Linked DNA regions of Tribolium castaneum. The protein of the gene in region 2 purifies or fractionates together with the protein of the main gene of each other region. This does not show direct contact. Links are inferred from orthologs where the notes say so. Each region holds a gene or a part of one and is shown on either strand. Other genes may lie near its edges.

Region 1 (6,143 bases), on a different chromosome or scaffold from region 2:
CATATGACGTAACCTCAAATTGTGTGATTTCGCAAATCACACATGTTGTTTAATTAAGCCCAAGTGCAATGTTACTGAAGACCCCAAAATCTGGCTTTCGTAGGTGGTTAAAACGTGGGGCAACTTTTATGTTTATTGGTGAAGGCATTGCTTTTGCTATTAGTTACGGACTCTGGTACAGTGTTAACACCAAGCGAGGTAAACACCACTAGTTTTTGGTTTTATGTAATCGTTTTTTAACAGAATATCGCAAATATCTCCACGATAATTATCCCGAGATCTTGGAATATTATTACAAGATCGGTGAAACAATCGATTCTAACAACAAAATTCGGCAAATTGACTACGCCTATTGGGAGAGTGAAAAACATTGATGGCCGAGAGGTTAATTAAGTCGATTTTGTGGCTCGTCGCTGGTACAGGTTTAGGGTACGGCTTGCTCGTAACAGTGACTCCAAATGAAGAAAATCTGAAAAAAGTACGTTATTTTTTATAATCAACTGTCACAATGATGTCAATCTGACGGCTCTTTGGCAGTTGGTTATAAGAAAAAATCGGCTGTACTTGGGTTTATTTTCTATTATTTATTCTTTCCAGAAATTGCCAGGAATCGACAAGTCCCCTGATTCACTCAACAGAAAACAACAATTTGTCAACGTATTACAGTCAGCTTCCAACTCATCCCAGCCTTTGTACCGCCTAAATAAAGAAAGCATTGATAAAGAAATTCGAAAATAGAGTCAAAAAACATGCAAGTGATGGAGGGTAGTGTGGATAAAATCAGTTTAATAGCACAGAGAGACTATGACCGAAAATTAGGTTTACAAAAACAAAAAGAAACTAAAGAGAGCCAATCTGCCGATACCGAAAAACTGGCATATTTCAACGAAACGTTCAGTAACAAGCGTCAACAAATCGAAAATTTCCTCACCCAATCAAGTGATTTGGACAAAGCAGCGCTTCCCCAGCACTTTGACACAATTTCGAAAGAAATCCTACTCTTGCAAAAATACGTCGCTAATTCTAACATATTTTTACGTTCTTACGACATCAAAAAATGTCACGAATCTTTACAAGAACTTACCAATAAATTAAAACAACTGGAGGAGAATCTTTTGCCCAAGAAAAAGTTCGGGTTTAAAAACAAACAAAACGTGAAACCTGTGGAAACAAAAAAAGAAAAGGATGAAGTGGATTTCCATAAAGTCGCGATTGTGGCAAAAGAATGCGGTTTTGCGAACAAAACTGGAGAAACTCTAACTATGAAAAATGAGATTTTCAAGAAAGACATAACAGTAGAAAAGTTGGAAAACTGTACCGTTAAATTGTTCGGTTCGCCGTCCACTCTCCACCTCAACCAGTTGAAAAATTGCCGCGTTTTCACAGGCCCCGTTTCAACCTCAATTTTTGCAGAAAACTGCACAAATTGCACTCTTGTGATAGCGTGTCAACAGTTAAGATTGCATTCTTCGAGTGATGTCGATATTTATTTGCATGTAACAAGTAGAGCAATTATGGAAGATTGTCACGATATATTTCTAGCACCGTATAACTGGGACTATGATAATCTCGAGTCTGATTTTAAAAATTCAGGGTTGGATCGAAACACAAATAATTGGAAATGTGTTGATGATTTCAACTGGTTGAATGTTGAAAGACAATCTCCAAATTGGTCGTTGTTAGATGAAGGGAAACTTGTAAAAAATTGGGATAATTCATAACGTAGTAATAAAAATTCGTAGTTTATTATGTTTTTGGAGCCCCGTAAGCATCAGGCATGCGTTCAATTGTATACCTATGTTGTGCAACATACATGATGGGAACACCCGGAATTTTCCGAATTCTGCGTTTCAAATCCTTATCATTCGTCGCAACAATGTAACACTTGTGTTGGGTGACCCTCTGGACTAGGCAATCATCAGCGTACGTCCCTTTATGCATGCACTTAATCCTCTCAAACCTCGGATCCTTTATTATCCTCAACGCCACTTTATACTTCTGACCTAATTTCTCTAATTCGCCCAAAACACAATCCGTAATATACGGAATACACTTAGCATACAAGCAGTCCATCATATTCTGAATAATATCCAACTTGTTCTTGATCGAAAAATTAATAAAGTTCGTATCAACCAAAATGTGATATGGAGGCCCCAGTTGGGTGTTGTATTGGAAAAAGAGCGCCGAACTAACTTGGGGCACCTCACGCACTTTCATTTCGTGTGGATCTTCGGGTTTTTTCTTGCGAGGAGGGGCCCTCTGGCTGGCTTTTATGCGAGGGTCGCTGGGACTGATCATTGTTTTCATTTTTGCAAACCGCTTCTGGGCGATTTTTCGCGTCTTCTTCGCCTTACCCTAAAAAACATTTCTATACGCTGTGCAAACACCAAAGCGAACTTTTTACCATCTTTTATTTTAAAATAAACACATGTAGAAAAAGTCAGGTTAAATATGCGTTGCCAACATTACAACACTAAATAAACAATCAGGGAGAGGTGAATAAATTAAATCCAAAATAATTGTTTGTGTGAAAAAACTGTTCCACTGACTCGAAATTTTTAAAAGGCGACATTGTGAGCGTGAGCCGTGAGTGTTATTTTTAAATTTATGATGCGAATTTGAGTGAGGTTAAGGCGGGCGTTGCCAACATTCTGGTTGATTTGTCCCCAAAAATTATGCTAGGAGAATAATTTATTAATTTGCTTCCAAATCCGTTTTTCCAGTGAAAAACAGTATTTTCGTGACGAAAACTCTGAAAGAGAACAATCAAGGAATGTTATTTTGTGTTTGTATGGTCTGAGTTCAAGTTTTTAAAAATTATAACCGTTTATGCTAAATGTTGACTATGATTTTATTGTTCAGTTAATTAGTTCGTTAATTAAAAAAGTGTAAAGACAACAAGTACCAAAATGGATCAAATGTTGCCAAGCCCCGGTTTCAGCATTCCTAGCATAGGTAAGTCTCGATTTTTCCTTCACACTTCCTTAGTGAGGCTTTAGGAACCCCCTTGCACCAGCCCGAGGAAGATCAGATGATTTTGCCCAATGCTCTGCAGCAACAACAGCAGCAGCAACCTTCCACAACATCACAGTCCCAACAAGTCCCGCCTTTGGCCCCAATGGGAGCCCTAACACCAACTCTGGGGTTGGGCATGGGCATGTCCATGCCCCATACGAAATATGCGGGCTTCGCCCTCCCCATCACGAGTATCCAGTCACAAACACCAGTACGTAACTAAATTATTGAATAATTGGAACGTTTAATTAAAATTTTAGCAACACACTATGATGTCCCCTATGGTGAATTTGGGGGGCTCAAGTGGTGCAGCGAACACCCCGTCGATGGGCCCCGCGACGCCGTCGCCCCTGACACCGATGACCCCGCATTCGGCCGACCCCAACATTGTCCCCCAATTACAGTAACAGTCCAAACTTTAGTAAAATTAGTTTGAATATTTTTTGCAGAAATATTGTCTCCACAGTTAACCTCAGCTGCAAGTTAGACTTGAAAAAAATCGCCCTTCACGCACGTAACGCTGAGTACAACCCCAAACGTTTCGCTGCAGTTATAATGAGAATCAGGGAGCCCCGAACTACTGCTCTTATTTTCTCTTCGGGAAAAATGGTCTGCACGGGGGCTAAAAGCGAGGACGACTCCAGACTAGCAGCGAGGAAATATGCGAGAATTATCCAAAAGCTGGGCTTCCCCGCGAAATTTTTAGACTTCAAGATTCAAAATATGGTGGGAAGTTGCGACGTTAAATTTCCGATCAGATTGGAAGGACTTGTCCTCACGCACAGTTCCTTCAGTTCGTATGAACCCGAGTTATTCCCCGGTTTAATTTACAGAATGGTTAAGCCCAGAATTGTACTACTTATTTTTGTCTCGGGTAAAGTTGTCTTGACTGGCGCCAAAATCAGGCAGGAGATTTACGAAGCCTTTGATAATATTTATCCAATCCTGAAAAGCTTCAAAAAGCAATAATTGCTTCATGTGCTACGTTTAATTGTTGACTGTAAGTGGGCCTTTTATATTGTTAATAGACGAGAATCAAAAATTGCTTTTATTTTTCCTTTTGACAAGTCCAATCTAACCTCAAAATTAGTTTTTTTACATTATTAATACATTATGCTGCACTAGAATACAATCAATCGAAAGGGAATGGAAAATTCCGCTCAGTACTTAAGTTCAAAACTGATAAGTAAATAATTAATTAAAGTTGATTATGGTTTACGAAAATTCAAATTTTTGCCACATAACCTCAAATTTTTTGCCAAAAAGAAAAAACTCGCTCGTTTTTGTCTTAAATGAAGAACAATAAACTCTAAAAAAGTGGAAGAATATCAGAAGACGGTACAAATTCCACGCCTTGTAAATACTGGAACTGATAAAAAGCGATGTCAAATTCCAACATGTTCAAGTAATTATTTTAATCTCTACAGTTCGGCGTAAAATAACAACAATGCCCATTTTACCAGGTGAGGCCACACGCCAATAATTGCGTTACTAATCGTAATTTTATCAGATAAAGTGCGAAATTTGGTGAAGAATGTTAGAAGTATGTTCCTAAAATGGTCAGTGCAAAGACCGATTTTGTCCATGTCTTTGGTGGTGATTTTGGCCGTTATCCTGCTCCCCGTGGTCACAGCAGCCACCCTAATGCCCGTTGCGCTATTGCTCACTTACACGGGAATTTTGGCGTCACAGGGAATTTTTTACATAACTTACAACATATTTATCCAAGGAATGCTACTAGCTATGGTAATTGTAGCCTTATTCGTTGTTGGTTTTACAATTGCAACAAGCGCGAGTGTTTTCCATTCATATACAATATTTAAAACGGTTACCATAAAGAAAAAGCAATAAATTTAAGTTTTTATTCGTTTTTATGTGCCATTTTTTCCATTAATGCCCATAATTTTCGTACTACTTGTTCCTCGCCTATTTCACCATAATTGAAGACTTCATAGTTTGGAGGGTTCGTCCGTACCATATCTGTTAGTTTATAAGGAATAAAGTTGTTAAAATGAACGGCTTGGTTTTTTTTTTAGAAAGGATACAGCCTGTGTTAGGTCTTGTATAATCAAATTGTGTTGCAGTTAATAACTTATACAAATATAAGGAGAGCCTGAAATAAATTCATTAGAGACCAACGTAAGAGTCATTTAAATTTCATACTTTAGGCTCTTAAGATTTTGCAGCTTATGATTATAAGTTTCGCACCGTTTTGTTGTTTCCCGGAGTTTATTTTTCTTTGCACCAAATTCGGTAGTTAAATTTGAAAGTTCCTCTTCCAGTTTATTCTATTTTTTTTACAAAGTTATCGTACAAGTAAAATTATTTTTTATACTTACGATTTCAGACTTTTCTTTTTCCAAAAGTTGAGCATTGTTATCCACGATTTCAAAGGCCCTTTCTACTTTACAATCAATCAAAGATTTAACGTTTGCACATATATTAAACAAATACCCTTCTAAAAAGACATAACAGAGTACAAAAATAGATTTAAAAAGATTGCACGTACCTTCTTCCACATGAGGTGTTAACTCATCGAGTGGGTGCAAAGATTCGGTAAAGCGATCGAGTTGTTCACTGCAAGATTGACTAATGGCTTTTATTATCGCCTCAAATTCTACAAGCTCCATTTTTTTGATTAAAACTAATATCAATTAATATTTTTGTAATGACAAGTCAGTCATAATAAAAGTTAAAACCAGTATTTTAAATCTGGGGATTTTTGGTTTTATGACGCCAACAACATAAACAACTCAAACACGAAAAAATTGTACTATTTGAACAACATTACTTCAAATAAAAAATGTTCGGTGTATACTATGTTGCTAAAATCCTGACCAAACTCCTTTTTGCGGTTTAAAATAACAATAAATTGAATGCAAGTTTTAATCTAGGGATTTTTGCTTTTGGATTGCTTGTACTGAAACGGCGCGCAAATTCCATAACATAAAATGCGAAAAATGTCTCAATCTTTGCAAAAATTCACGAGAAACGTTTTGTCTGTAATCTAACAAAGCCACGCAAAAATAACTTAAATACCTTGCACACATGGAATTACAAAAATTCGCTTTATAAGTGTCAGACTCTTTCTATACTCTCGTATTAAGAATGAAGCTCACTGTGGTGGT
Region 2 (6,694 bases):
CGAGTTTTTCACTTTTCTTTTTTTAATGCCTAACTTGTTATGTAAGTGAGAGTAAATTACAAAATTAGAAAATACACGCAGCCTTGAATTTGATAACACAAGTTGATGGGTTTTATCACTTTTCTGATCGTCAGCTTAGAAGTTATTAAGCAACGTGTAATTTTTTCCCAATTTCTATTTATTGAAACATCAATTTTATTTTTCGATTAAAGCCACGTGCGGTTAATGATCGATAAAAATGCTTTCAGTCCCCAATCATAAACTGAGTCTTTAGTAGAATAATGGTGGATTTTATTGCCCCTGACTTACACATTTTCAGGAACCTCCCTCGTGCCATATGGATCGCCCTTCCCATGGTGACCGGCGTGTACGTCCTTGCGAACGTCGCCTATTTCGCCGTGTTATCAGGAATGGAAATTGAAAGTTCGCCGGCTGTTGCGGTCTCCTTCGGCCTCAAAATGTTCGGTTCTTTCCACTGGCTAGTTCCAATCTTCGTCGCTTTGTCCACTTTTGGCGGAGTTAACGGAATTCTGTTCACCTCTTCGCGGCTGTTCCTCACAGGATCTCAAGAAGGACATCTCCCCGACTTATTCTCCTTCATTCACGTTAAACGCATGACCCCCATACCCTCACTGATATTCACAGTAATGATCCCCCAAAGTTTAGCAATTTTTAATGCCCTATTTTTAGTGTGTAACCTCTTTAGCAATGCTTCTAGTCAGTGATGTCTTCGTTCTGATAAATTACTACGGACAAATATTATGGTTTTCTGTGGCGGCAAGCATTGCGGGAATGTTATGGCTGAGATACAAGCAACCCGATATGCCAAGGCCGATTAGAGTGAACATGAGTATCCCAATAATATTTTTGTTCTGTTGCGCGTTTCTTGTGATATTCCCCATACCCTCGCAGCCGTGGAACACAGTCATTGGAGTGGCCATCACGCTGTCAGGTACTTAATTACGGAATTTTGACAAAAATAACACATTTTTAGGCATCCCTGTGTATTATTTATGCGTCAAGTGGCAAAATAAACCGGAAAAATTCAACCAAACTTCGCGAAAATTGACGGAAATACTCCAGAGTATTATGAACGTGACTTCACCACAAGCGGAACAAACACTGTCCCATTCTTAATTTATTTCAATTGTAGGTTTATTTATAAAAATTATAATTTTTTACAGTGTCGTATTTGCAAAAATACCTGTATGGCAGTATAACATGACTGTTTCTTTCAATAACCAATGGTGTGAATATTTTCACGGTTTATTACAAAAAAAGAAACATGAAAAATGAACAATATCTTAATATAAAACACTGCAGGCGATAGAAAACTATTACGGAAAAAATTAACTGGAATCCTACCAAAATAAAGGATTTTCATGACGAAACAACTTAAGACTCATCGGGAGTATGCCAAGCGAGACGTTCCTCATAAAACTGAATAACAATTTGTGGACACTTGACGTTTGCTTCCTTAGCTGGGACTAAATCGGTCTCGTCGGTTCCCTTCCACTTCATCAGAAACATCAGCTGTCCTGTGGTGTCTGATGCTCCTATGATTTTCTCGGCTTGGTAGCCCCGTTCAAAGCCGACTTTTGATTTACTCTTGGATGAACTATCCTTCCCCTTTTCAGATTTCGACTCAGACTTTCGCTTTTTCTTGGATTTTTCGTCGTCATCGCCTTCTGATTTCTTCTTTTTCTTGGACTTATCCTCGTCGTCAGATGAGTCAGACTTGTTTTTACCATTTTCGTCGTCGGAATCTGCGTCTTTTTTTGAATTCTCTTTCTCGTCCGTGGAATCTGAACGACGGCGAGCTTTCTTCGACTTGGGCTCGCCGTCGGAGTCCTCCGTTTCAACCGCATGCTTCTTGGGCCTGCCTTTTGATTTCTTTTCAGACTTCTCTTCACCGTCCTTGGATTTTTTCTCTTTCTAGGGATACACAATTAAATAGATTTCGGGTCGAAGTGGGCTGGTTTTTGCTTGGCTTATCCAATAAACCCACCTTTTTTTTGTCACTATCCTCGTCCGCACTTTTCGTGGTGGAAGACCTCTTCGCCTTGGCTTTGCGCGACTTTTCAAATTCCGCTATGAGATCGGGACAATCGAGATTGTCTTCGGGTTCCCAAGTATTATCGTCTTCGCTATAACCTTTCCACTTGAGAAAATATTCGACCTTTCCGTTTACGACCCGCCGGTCGATAATTTTCTCAACTGAATATTCCTCCTCGCTCTCGCTGTCTTCTACCTTCTTTTTGCCCATTTCTGCAGTTTTGTTTGCGAATAACCGGTAAAGCGATGCTGACTGCGTACTTCTGGAACAATAAGTATTGCTTGCATTCAACTTCGTTACTAAAATGCTGACTAGTTAAGGTAGTGGATAATAATGCGATTGGAGCCGTTATTTACTTACTTTCAACTCTGGCTCTTAAAAAGCCACCACAAAACACCGCCGAAAAGATCCTTTTAATGGCGCTGGAAATATGGCGGGTGGCGGTTAAGAAAAAAATGGTGCCAACACAATTCAACCAATTAAAAATTGTCCAAAAACGACTCTCAGAGTTTTAAAAAATATAGCCAGGAGTTACAACTCTCATACTGCGCTCTCTGAATGAAGAGAAAATCGGATTGTTGCGAAATAAGCCTAGATTTTTTATAAATCGACGTTGAATGGCAGGCTTTAGGGAAATTTTGCGTTATTGATTGTTGTCATTTGCATTAAAGTGTGGTTAGGGAAACGTCAGTTTGTGTTGTATTTATTATTTTACGAGTTTATAAATGAGCGCCGAAGAAATGGAAAAATCTCAACTTGCAGCCGTTCTGCAAATTTTGAAAAAATACAATTTAAAGGTGAGCTTATGGCGAGTAAGCACAACGTAACATTTTTCATTAGGGCACTGAGGAGCTGCTACGAAAGGAGGCCAATCTCGGTAATAACATAGCTGATGGCCCTTTGCAACAAAATTCAGACGTTAGTAGCGTTCTGACGGGGTACAAGAGTGACGGAGATCCAGAAACCTATGAGGACTCTTACATGGAGTTAAAGCGTTTTGTTGAGGGCTCCCTTGACATTTACAAACACGAATTAGGCATGATTTTATACCCAGTTTTGGTCCACATGTACCTCGAATTGGTTTATAATGGACATACGGAGAAAGCGATAAACTTAATGAAAAAATTTGGCCCCGAACAAGACTCGTACTATCAGGAGGATCTCAGGAAGTTGGCTTTGGTCACAAAACGGGACCATATGAACGGGAACGAATTGACAGACACCTTCAAATCAAACCAGTTTATTATTCGAATGTCGCGTGACACTTTGTCACTTTTAAAACGTCACTTAAACGACAAAAAAGCGTCAGTTTTGCTGAACATCATCCAGGAACATCTCTACTTTGATATGTACGAAGGCGTAGCGAGGAACAAAAGCCAGATTGATGCCACGTCAGGTGCCGTTGGGGGAGAGGCAAAACGACAAGGTTCATTTTCGTTATCATAATTACAATAAACACATCAAAATTCCAGATAATAAAACCAAAGTCTATTACGGCATCCCCAAAGCCCCCGACATTCAGGCACTAGCAGCGCCAGTCGAAGACGAGGACGAAGGCGGCGAACAGGACAATCCGGACAAACCTAAGAAGAAAAAAGCCAAAAAAGACCCACTTTTCTCGAAAAAAACAAAAAATGACCCAAACGCTCCACCGCCTGATAGAATTCCAGTCCCGGACATGAGAGACCACGATAAGTACGAAAAAGTGAAGGCGTACAGAGAGGCCTCAAAGAGAGTTACGTTAGGCCCGGATTACCTCCCTTCAGTTTGTTGTTACACCTTACTTAACGCCAATCACACGTTAGTTGAGTTTATTCAGTGAAAATATTTTCTTTATCGGGGGTTTTTTAGGGTTAATTGTGCTGAAATCACCGAAGATTCGAGTATGCTGGCGGTGGGTTTCAGCGATTCAATTGTTAAAGTCTGGACACTTGTGCCTCAAAAACTGAAGGCTATGAAAAGTGGGGAGCAGCTGGAGGATGTCAATGTTGACGTAGAGGATGTCGTGGTAATGTTACATTTTTTTTTAATAATGAAATCGATAAAGTACATGAAAAAATATATAATCAATCAAAATTAAACGATAAGTAAAACTAAATCAGTAATTTCGATTACAATTTTTTGTTCAGAAAAGACTTTTATTATTACTACAAAAGTAATCACTCATTTTTTTAATACAACATTAAATATATTCAAAGTTAAGTTGAGATTTTAGTTTTCGCCCCCATCAAGTCGATAAAGTAGACACCGACTTAAATTAATCGACTACTTGAATAAATAGCGATAAAAATAGGTCGTTGCCGTGTGGAAACCGTCAACATGTTTAAAATCGCAAAATAAATGACTGGAAGGTGTATCATTTTTATTCATTTAAACAGTGTACTTAAAGAAATCTGCCAAGATAGCAACTTATCTGTCATCTTGGCCAGGTTCCAAAAACTTACATGTTTTCAACATGCAGGTGAGAATGATGGATGAAAGGTCCGGTGAGACTTCCAGATCGCTTTACGGCCATTCAGGGCCTGTTTACTCGGTATCATTTTCCCCAGACAAGACTCTCCTTATCAGTTGTTCGGAAGACACAACAATAAGATTATGGTCGTTGCAAATATGGACTTGTCTGGTGGTCTACAAAGGACACATGTTCCCCGTTTGGGACGTCAAATTCTCTCCCTTGGGCTATTACTTCGCTTCGGCGTCGTACGACCGCACTGCGCGACTTTGGGCCACCGACCATTACCAACCGTTGCGATTATTTGCCGGTCATTTCTCCGACGTCGATGTAAAAATTATCAATTTTTTTTTAATATTTTTTTACAGAAATTATTAATTGTAGTGCGTCCAGTTTCACCCAAATTCCAATTACGTTGCGACCGGTTCCAGCGACCGCCGCGTCTGTTTGTGGGATTGTACGACGGGAAATCATGTCCGACTTATGACTGGGCATAAATCGCCCATAATGTCTTTGGCGTTCAGTGTTTGTGGGCGGTTTTTGGCTTCCGCGGGGGTGGATTGTAAAGTGTTGGTTTGGGACTTGTCCCATGGACACTTGGTTGCAGAACTCACCGGGCATGAGAAGCCCATCCATGCACTTGCTTTCAGCAGATGCGGGAATATTCTAGTTTCAGGAGGGTTGGACTGTTTGCTCAAAGTTTGGGATTTTACCAAACTGACTGAGGAAATCAGCTCGGAGGAAGTAAATGTGTCGCATAATCCCGATGTGAGGATCGGGGATGATTATTTATTGAGGAGTTTTGCGACGAAGAGCTCGCCATTGATCAGCCTTCACTTTACGAGGAGGAATTTGCTATTGGCTGTTAGCATGTTTGATGGTGTTAGCACTTAGTTTATTGTAATGTGTATTATTTACCTTGATAAGAAATAAATTTTTTAACGATTTTTTTGGGGTTTGGTTTATGAATCGCTTGAAATAACACTAAAATGTTAAAATAGAATTCCGAGTTGAAAATAAACAGTGTCAACAACATTAAAAATGTTTGCCAGGACTTTTGCCAAAAACATTCATAATTTCTCTATGACGAATCAAACATTTTTATAATTAATATTCACACCGATAAAGTCGGTTATTCAATACTTGAAAAGAAAAAAGTAATGGTCTTGTACGTCGAAGTAATTACTTTGGTTGAACAGACGTATTTTTGGCGTCCAATCAAGAATAATATAAACAAGGATTTATTTTCGAAACAAATTTGTTGTGATAGAAAATTAATATCGTTACAAATTTTTACGCTTTGACTGGTTGTTAAAAAACAAAATAAATGTTAAGGTGCTTGTTTTAACTTTTATTTGAATTAATGTACATGTTTGTAGCTTGTTTTGTTGCGTTTGAAATTAATTTATTTGTGAATAACGTTACCTAAAAATTAGGCAAAGGATATGAAATTATTCATTAAGCCAATGTACAGGGTGAGTCTGCTAAAAGTATTATTTACAAATATACTATTTCAAAAGTATTAATTACTTTTTTTCTATACATGTAATTTTTTCCGAATATTTCTCCCTTTTCGTTATAATTAAAATTAATAAGACACCGTATGTGGAACTACGGCAGGGCCCGAAATGCCCAAAAAATCCAGCTAACCTACCTCAAGCCTAACAAGCGAAATCAAAGTAAACACATATTTTGTAAAAATATCATCGAGCGAACAATGCCAGTGGTGTGGCAGTGAACTTGTTTACGTACCTATTTTTCGAATGAACTATTTGAAAAAGGTACCTCAAAAATTCGCATTACGTGTGCTAAAAATGACTCGAGCATAAGCAAACCCAAAAACAACACTTGAAAATATCTGGAAACTGTTTACGGTTGGGATGATGGAGTAAACCCCACCCCCTATAATACGTCATTAGCTGAAAGCTGTGCAGCGTTCAGCCAGGTCCTGGAAAGCAGAGCATCTTAAGCGACAACGTTAGAAGCATCTGAGTGATATTTGATTCCCGATCGCTGCTGCAACACTAAGTAAGATATTTTTACGCTCTTAATTATAACATCGCAATTAAAAGTTGCTTCCTAAACTAGTTATTAAACTGGAAAAAAAAATAAAATTTCACAATTTGTGTGAAATATGGTGCACTTGAAGCTTTGGCCGGTGGGGCTTTGCATAATTTGCACAAATA

The links. Proteins that work in one complex are often made in the same cells at the same time.
Region 1: the proteins of Taf5 (region 2) and Tbp purify together in Drosophila melanogaster (affinity purification with western blotting; 4 studies listed by BioGRID). This does not show direct contact. The link is inferred for Tribolium castaneum from reciprocal best matches to the Drosophila melanogaster genes Taf5 and Tbp.

The regions. Positions count from the first base shown.
Region 1 is NC_087402.1:9,985,317-9,991,459, forward strand, and holds Tbp (uncharacterized protein Tbp), read left to right. Parts: upstream 1-2,817; 5' UTR 2,818-2,909; coding exon 2,910-2,955; intron 2,956-2,999; coding exon 3,000-3,226; intron 3,227-3,275; coding exon 3,276-3,418; intron 3,419-3,464; coding exon 3,465-3,984; 3' UTR 3,985-4,478; intron 4,479-4,525; 3' UTR 4,526-5,031; downstream 5,032-6,143. Other genes in the region: uncharacterized protein LOC657646, read left to right, coding at 69-198, 244-374; Tbcc (tubulin-specific chaperone C), read left to right, coding at 750-1,721; Bka (rRNA-processing protein FCF1 homolog), read right to left, coding at 1,747-2,355, 2,405-2,407; uncharacterized protein LOC107397721, read left to right, coding at 6,124-6,143. UniProt on the Drosophila melanogaster protein: General transcription factor that functions at the core of the DNA-binding multiprotein factor TFIID.
Region 2 is NC_087398.1:2,405,874-2,412,567, forward strand, and holds Taf5 (cannonball), read left to right. Parts: upstream 1-2,732; 5' UTR 2,733-2,796; coding exon 2,797-2,853; intron 2,854-2,896; coding exon 2,897-3,482; intron 3,483-3,528; coding exon 3,529-3,856; intron 3,857-3,907; coding exon 3,908-4,064; intron 4,065-4,517; coding exon 4,518-4,838; intron 4,839-4,892; coding exon 4,893-5,402; 3' UTR 5,403-5,455; downstream 5,456-6,694. Other genes in the region: JhI-21 (large neutral amino acids transporter small subunit 2), read left to right, coding at 320-644, 691-952, 995-1,137; heterochromatin protein 1, read right to left, coding at 1,396-1,935, 2,009-2,266. UniProt on the Drosophila melanogaster protein: TFIID is a multimeric protein complex that plays a central role in mediating promoter responses to various activators and repressors. May play a role in helping to anchor Taf4 within the TFIID complex.